Neurospora crassa OR74A: one gene and its partner. The protein of the gene in region 2 interacts with the protein of the main gene of each other region in a pairwise test. Links are inferred from orthologs where the notes say so. Each region holds a gene or a part of one and is shown on either strand. Other genes may lie near its edges.

The links.
Region 1: the proteins of NCU09688 (region 2) and NCU10618 interact in binary tests that used the Saccharomyces cerevisiae proteins (3 or more experiments, as listed by UniProt). The link is inferred for Neurospora crassa OR74A from reciprocal best matches to the Saccharomyces cerevisiae genes APM1 and APS1.

The regions. Positions count from the first base shown.
Region 1 is NC_026505.1:1,564,145-1,567,862, forward strand, and holds NCU10618 (AP-1 complex subunit theta-1), read right to left. Parts: upstream 2,884-3,718; 5' UTR 2,443-2,883; coding exon 2,432-2,442; intron 2,367-2,431; coding exon 2,333-2,366; intron 2,251-2,332; coding exon 2,133-2,250; intron 2,066-2,132; coding exon 1,791-2,065; intron 1,619-1,790; coding exon 1,589-1,618; 3' UTR 487-1,588; downstream 1-486. UniProt on the Saccharomyces cerevisiae protein: Component of the adapter complexes which link clathrin to receptors in coated vesicles. Clathrin-associated protein complexes are believed to interact with the cytoplasmic tails of membrane proteins, leading to their selection and concentration.
Region 2 is NC_026505.1:834,888-838,640, forward strand, and holds the start of NCU09688 (AP-1 complex subunit mu), read right to left. Parts: upstream 2,130-3,753; 5' UTR 1,738-2,129; coding exon 1,699-1,737; intron 1,618-1,698; coding exon 1,489-1,617; intron 1,352-1,488; coding exon 254-1,351; intron 176-253; coding exon 95-175; 3' UTR 1-94. UniProt on the Saccharomyces cerevisiae protein: Component of the adaptor complexes which link clathrin to receptors in coated vesicles. Clathrin-associated protein complexes are believed to interact with the cytoplasmic tails of membrane proteins, leading to their selection and concentration.

The DNA of each region.
Region 1 (3,718 bases), about 730 kb from region 2:
ATGTTATAATGTCTAGCGCGATGTCGAGTACAGATAGTGAAAAGGTGTAGGTGGTTGTACACAGTAGATAGTTAGAAGTGGGGTTTTTGATGTTGTTGATGTTGATGTAAGTTTAGCGTGAGGAGAAATAGGGGTGACGATATCGTCATATATCGAGTGATGTCCTGCTGTTTAGTTGAAGTGAGGTTCAGATCAGTTTGGGAAACAAAAAGTGGGAAAAGTGGGAGGAGGGACAACTTGGATAAATCCCATACATGTAGTGTATGATGTTCTTTCCAATCCATCCGAATTGAATCCAAGGGGACCGCCGGTTATCGGGTCGGTATAGTGAGTGTACAGCCATCATGCTTCTTCTGTGTTCAGCTTGGCTCCAGTCAGTCCTCTTGTTGGTCATTGATATGTTCCCTTGGTGCCCCGGCTGCGGTCTCGCTTTCCATCGATGGCTCGTTACCTATCTGACGTTCCTTCCAAGCCGTGCCATCAGGGCCAGAGCCGGTTCGCTGACGCTGACAGTAACAGGTGGGTGGCCTTTCGGGTGAGTGGCCTGCTTGCGCCAGCCCACGTTGGCCTTGGCTCGCTGGGGATTGCTGGGGTCGACCCGCCTAAACCCCGGTCATGCGCCGCTGGCTCCTCGAGTCGGGTGGAGTCGCACCCCCTAAGTGATCGGCGTTCCCTTGTCACCACCAAGTCTCCATTCCCACTCACTCCCCTCCGCCGTTCCGCCTGGAAGCCTCCAGTCAGTAATCGCAGTGCGTTCCACTTCCTGTGTGTCAATGTGTGTCCCGGCCTGAATGCTGCTCATCAATGTTAATTGTCAACCACAACCACCTGACGAATAGAGTCGTCTCAACCCTCCACGAGCGTTGCTTCCAACGTCGATGTGGACAAACCTTTCCTTGGTGGGCATCAAGGTAACGCCACCCCAACGTCTCCCGAGCGAATCGATCTGTTTCTGCGCATACACCCGATGTGTGAGGTCATGAACAGATGGATCGGTGTTGGCAACGCGTCGTTGAATCGTTGTTATCATTAAGCACATCGCCGAGGCCATGCCCAGTGTACCGGATACGCATTCCACTTGGTTTCCTCCCATCATCGTCCATGATTAGGACACTAGTGGTGTATCCGGTCTCCGAGTGGCTCAGTTTTGGCAGCTCATTAATCTACAATGCCCATATCTATATGATTAAGGAAAGGGAGTTTGCTCCCTCCTAATGGGTGACTGTAGCCCCGACTTCCTGCCACCACACCACACTCTGCTTCCCCTTCTCTCGGCGCGATTATTATTGTCCTCCCTGGTTGCATATGCTGTACTCTCGTGCTTCGGGTCGCCCCTCTCGTCTGTCCATCCGGTGCCGTCACCTATCGGAGGGACTGTGGTCGCTACCACAGCTTCAGAGAATCCCGGCCTGCTTGAGTGCGTTGTTTATTTCTTCCAAATCCTGCATCAGGAGGTAAAGGTATGCATTAGCGTATGCTGTTGGGGTAAATAAATGTCGACCATTGGCAATCGCAAGTGTTTGAGGGGACCCGGTTCGGTCGGTCGTGATGATGGAGAGAAAAAGACACCACAAAGCTTGATCAGCCTTTACATGATCTTTGTGACTTCATCCTCGACCTGAGGAAGTGCAATAAACGTGTCAGTGAGCGCGGTGGTTTACGGATAGGGATTGCAACAAGGGGGGGGGGGGGGGGGGGGGGGGGGGAGCGTGTAGGCGTAGCGACGCGGGAAGAAGGCAAATTCTGTCCGGGCAAGCGGTCACGGCTCCAAGTCAAATGCTTGTACGCACCTCCATGTCCTCTAAGGCGTCTTGTTGCGATATGCATCGTAGGACATTCTTCTTGCTGCTTTCCTGCAACTCTCCCGCCAGCAGGAGCTCGTCGAGGATGTAGTAGGCTTTGGTAAAGGAGAAAATGATGTCGAGCTCGCAGACGTTGCCGTAGTACTTGTCCATCTGCTCGACATAGCGATGGATGATCTCGAGGGTGATCAGCTCGTTGTCCTCGGAGGAGCATCCGGCGATGAAGAAAAGCGAGGCATATCGGCGGTAGACAATCTTGGTATCTGCAGACGAGCAAAAAGACAGTTAGTTAGCCCTATGTTGCGATCCAGGAGAATTGGCGGAGCTTGCCTTTGTATTCGAGAAAGTTGCACATGCGAGTCCTCCTAGCCAGGACAAGCTGGGAAACGTCCTTGACGATCTTGGCCTTGTCCTTGGGAGACAGAGTGGTGAACCATTTGGCCAGGCGCTGGATATTTGACGTGCGGTTAGTCGGGAGAAGGACAGCGTGGTTGGGGACGAGAGCAACGCCCGCGGCGGGCAAGACGCACCACTTTGCCCTGGCGCGAGAGGAGGATTAGATAGCTGCAGAGCTCCGGGTCAGCTTGACTTCATTGTGAATAGCAAGATGGCGACTGTCGGGCGCATACTGAATAGCCATGATGACGATGATTCCATCAACTACCCGGGATCACGTTGAGCGGGAGTCGACAATGTGATCATGGAGGTGTTGTCACGGGCGGGAAATTTGACAAGGACACCACGCCGACAGCCTGGACTCCTCCCGCCTGGAGCTGTCCAAAGGGGCGGGACGACGGCCGTCCAATGTGCCTGAAGAACCAGACCCAAGGCAAGTGGGGCTCTACCCGATCCTAGAGACTATTAGTGCATCTGGCACTTCTCGTTTTCAGAGGCTTCTTTAGTGGTCTTATAGTGGATGATGTGCTCCTGAGTTGATCGAGGCTTAACATGGGAGTTCGTTGATCGTCTAACTGTCTATGTACCTAACGACAATTGAGTTGATTGACTTTTTATCTTCTGCTGATCCCATGTTGCTGGGCAAACCACTTAACGCACACAAAATCTCAAGGACGGATCAAAAGGGAAGCCCTTTTCTCATTAAACCCCCTCAGTCGTAGCGGGCGTCTGGTTCATTTTTCTATCATCTTCTGCCGGCATGACTCAACTAGTTCTCTTCCTCAGTGTTGGTGGCTGCAACAAGCGAACATGACCTACTAATCGTGGGAGAAGTACAAGGCTCCCCACGTTCACCGGGCAGTTCCTCACCTAACAAGACATCCCGTTCCTGTCAGACCTTCTGGTTGGCTGTTGCTTTCTTCTCCTTCTACGGCATCCCGCGCATATCTACACCAAAGTGTGGTTGAGAACGCAACCGACAGTCATCAGATGCCGAAGCTGGCATAGCTGCCGTTGACATTCTCGGCAATGTCCGCGACGTGCATCTCCGACTCTGACAAACTTGCTTGAGAGTCCGCACTTGTTCTTGCTCATGGCGCCTTCCCTGGGAGTTGCGTGTAGAGCCATGCTTCACCTAGCGCAAGGTCAAAATCCGAGAGTCGGATGATGACCTCTCCGATTTATGGTCTGCGGACATCCCACATTGCGAAAACTCCGTCTAACCTCTATCCTGGGTTATGTTCTTGGTCGACGACGGATATTCATACTTTTCCAAACTGATGTTCCCCTGTGTCGTTACAGCTGCCTATCTCTGGCAACACCACCCTACCATCGGCGTTTGTGGTGATACATATCATCACAAGCTTACAAAAGGTACCTTCATACTCCCGAATCGAACCACCCCCGGACCCATGCCAGTAAATCATTAATAATCGGTTCTAGGCTCCATTGAACCAAATAAGTCGTACCCCACTATCTAGTCCAAAGTTCAAGAGGTAGAGAGATTCGTCTTGCGCCTG
Region 2 (3,753 bases):
TAGGTAAATTGTAGGTTTTCTGTTCCACGATCTGTCGTTTGTTTTGAAGAAAAAAAACAAGGCTTCTTCTTGCCCGTATCCAAGTCCTCGTCGTTCATACCGCGTCGGGCAATCTGACGGCGATATCTCCTGACTGCGTAATGTACCTGACCCAAGGCAAGGAGGGGTATTGTAGCTGTTTCAAATCGTCAGTAACTAGCAGCCACAGGTGCTAGAAGAAACATGGGTAAAGAAAGAAAAAAAAAAGTCTTACCTTTGGCTCCGTAATCTTCAAATACCGCACCTGAATCCCACTCGTGGTGAAATATGGAATCTCAAACTTGACCTGAATCGGCCTCTTGGCTCCTTTCCCGGGGGCACCGACACCACCCATACTGCCACCAAATCCACCCGTCATGCCACCGCCGTGCTCATCGTCGCCCCTCACACTAGGAAGACCCAGCTCCGCGCGCATCAAAAACTCCTTGCCGCCACCAAACTGCTTGATCTTCCACACGATGGCACTCTTCTCGGGCGCGTAGTGCACGCTCCCCACGTTCGTCCGGAACCGGGGCGTGTCGGCGTCGTCGGGGACCGGCACAATGATCTCCACGTTGTTGGCCGTCGAGCGGCGCTTGAACTGCGCGCGCGCTTTGAGCATGTACTCGATTCGCGAACCGGAGTGGGACTCGACCACGCACTCGACCCAGATCAGGGGTTTGACTTGGGTGTTCAAGCGGTACGACATGAGCTCGAACTCGCCGTCGGGCGGGATGAAGGAGATGGTGCGGTCGTTTTCGAAGCGCGACAGGCGTACGCACTGGTGGAACTTGACGTCTTCCATCTCAATGGCCTTTCCCCGCGTGGTGCGCCCCGTGGTCTCGAACATGACTTTGTCGTTTAGGCCCAGGCGCAGCTCGGGCATGCCGGAGAGGTAGCACTTCATTTTGATGGCGCCGAGGATTTCGGAGCGCAAGACGTTGCCGTTGGCCGAGACCAGCAGGTTGAGGGATTCGATCACGTCGAGGAACACTTCGTTCTTGCGGTAGCGGATGCCTTCGGATCGCCATGAGACGGCGTTGGTGACGGCGATGGGCGGGCGCGCTTGGATTTCGAGCTTGTGCGACTCTTGGGTGATGTACTCCTGCAGGATCTTGGACTCGGTCGTTTGCGGGTAGCCGAAATCCATCATCTCGTCCAGGAGCTCGTAGATGATGACGAAGTTGTCCCGGATCGATTCCTCTTCCAACGCTTTGAAGTACTCGGTGAAGACCTCGACGATCTTGTGCAGGAAGAGCAGGATCTCGGCGGCGTTGGTGTTGCGTTTTGTGAGGGCGAGAAGGTACAGGTTATTATGGCGGATGTAGAGGTACTATATATATTAAATGACCGAAGAAAGTGTTCAGCAAATCTGTGGCCCAAGAGGTTCTCGCAACAGCAGCAGCAGCAGCAGCAGCAGCAGCAGCAGCAGGGTGGACGACGACGACGACGGGCTTGTAGATAACATACGTTGATACCCTCGTGGGAAAAGCATGGTGGTACGGCGGACGACTCTTCTTCGGCTTCGCTTAATAGAATAGGGAACTTTTCGACGGCCGACATGGGAATATCACCGCGGTAGTTACGGGCAAGGAGGGTCTAAGTGAGGGCGCATTGGGCGGTCAGCTTTGGATGCTTTGCTGTGGACTTTGCGACACCACCAGATGAGCATTTTCCCACCTTGCCCTTGAGATCTAGAAAGAAAATGGCGGACGCCATGGTAAGCTGTGGTGTCTGTTGTTGTCTGAGGAGATTGAGTGTAGAGAGTTGTTGTTGTCGTCGTCGGCGTCGTGGTCGAGGAGAAGGTGTTGACGGAAACGGAGGAGGGGCACTGGTAATACAAGGCGCAAGCTACGATTAGGGGGGGTAATCGAGTATGGTAGGCGCGAGCGCCAAAAGTGAGTTCGAACTCGGTTCGTCAATGGGCTATAACATGCGCCGTAGGTGGTTGAAATCCTGTCGAGGAGCTGAGGGTCAAGAACTGCAAACAAAGTATCACAGTCGTTGTTGTTTATCAAAGGTGTAGCGCGGGCAAGCCACGATACCTATCCTGCAACTGAAGACGAGTGTGTGCAGTTGTCGCTATCAATACGTCGCGACAAGTGGTGACATGGAAGCGATGGTGCATCCAGATCTCGAAAAGCACAGGCCAAGAACACCCTGGCGGCCAGCAATGCCACTGCAGCCCAGAACAGAGCTCACAGCACCAAGCAGCAATGCCAAGCACTCGTGGTCAGCGAGCTTCCGCCCCTTTGTGACAAGTCTCGACGTGGAACCTTCTTCAGCTCCAGCTGTCGGTCAGCTGGTCCCCGTAGCCTTGCCAGGCTCGCTAAGTCACATCCACACCCAAGAGGGAAAGGCTTGGTAAGTCTTGGCAGGGTCGAAGGTGAACATTTTCCATTCCATCATGATGCTGCCATTTCATTTCCGTGACGGGAGCATCATCAGAGAATCGGGGTTAATTGGTCTCCAGTCCAGCTGCTCGAGCTCTCTAGGTCATCGTCGTCGGCGCAAGACCCAACAACTCAAGTGTTCCGATGGAAGGAAGTGGGGCAGACTTTCGACTCTCTTTCCCATCGGCCCCAGCTGAACTTTTGTCCGTCTTTCGAGAAAGAAAAAAAAAAGAAAAGGTCTGTGCTTCTCTGGCAGATCCACCCAAAATTCCTCCGCTCCTCGCAAGTATTTTAGAGAAACCCTTCCGTCGTTTTCAATCTTGCACCTTTTTCTCCTCTTTTTTTTTCTTCAACGCGTCCTCAGACAGTGCCGAACATCGCAAATGCACATCGGCTCCGGCATTCTGTCGGGGTTCGAACCGTGTCCTATGGTGATTCTGCGATTTCGCGACGCGGAGAAGAAGGGGATTGATTTCTTCAAATGGCTCCATAAGAGCTGCCCATGTATGTTGTCTGCCTTTGGGAAGATGACCAAAATTACTAGGGCGGCGTCAGAGGTTCCACACATTCCATCATCGTAGAAGTTGTTTTTTTTCTTGGTGTTTTGAACCTTTTTGTGTGTCTTGACGTTGATCGTTGTGTCGCGCGCAAAGCGCTATATTTTATTATCGTTTTACGCCGTCGGACACCCACCCACCCGTGTTGCGGTCTGTCCACGCCGGCCGGCCGGTAAATCTTGTGTTTGGGATCGGAGCAGCCATTCCTTCGTTCCTTGGCCGGAGGGGACGGATGACGGACGAAAACTTGGAAGCGGACCTGTTCAGTCGGCCCGTTGCACTCGACATGCTCTCACTCTCCGGTTGATTAGTGATCGATATCACCACACACACACTGCCGAAAGTCAATGCCGGAGTCGGTGCCGCAGTCAGGAGCGTTTCACCGGCTCAGCTCCCAAGAAACGCCAAAATCCGCACGTGATGATCAGCTAGTGCTCATGGTGCTCCCAATCCCGTGGCGCTGGTAGTGGTGGTTTTTTTCGTTCCTCGCCGGCGTGAGCCAGTCGACCAGTCGTGCCAGCCATGCCAGGCAGCTACGCAGTAGACTGATATGTGTCTCTGGACGAGACATCCCATCTCGGCAGCTTCACCGAGTCAACGTCTTTTCCCCCTTATTTTGTTTTCTTTCTTTTTTTCTCCCTCTTGTTCCTCGCTTGATTAGTGCGGCTGGACCCCTGGACCCTTATTTTCGGGGAGAGCAAGACAACAAATCCGCAACATAGGAAATTCAAATGGGAGTTTGAATGTCAGGAACGCCTACAATCACGATGTTCCGGAATGCGGAT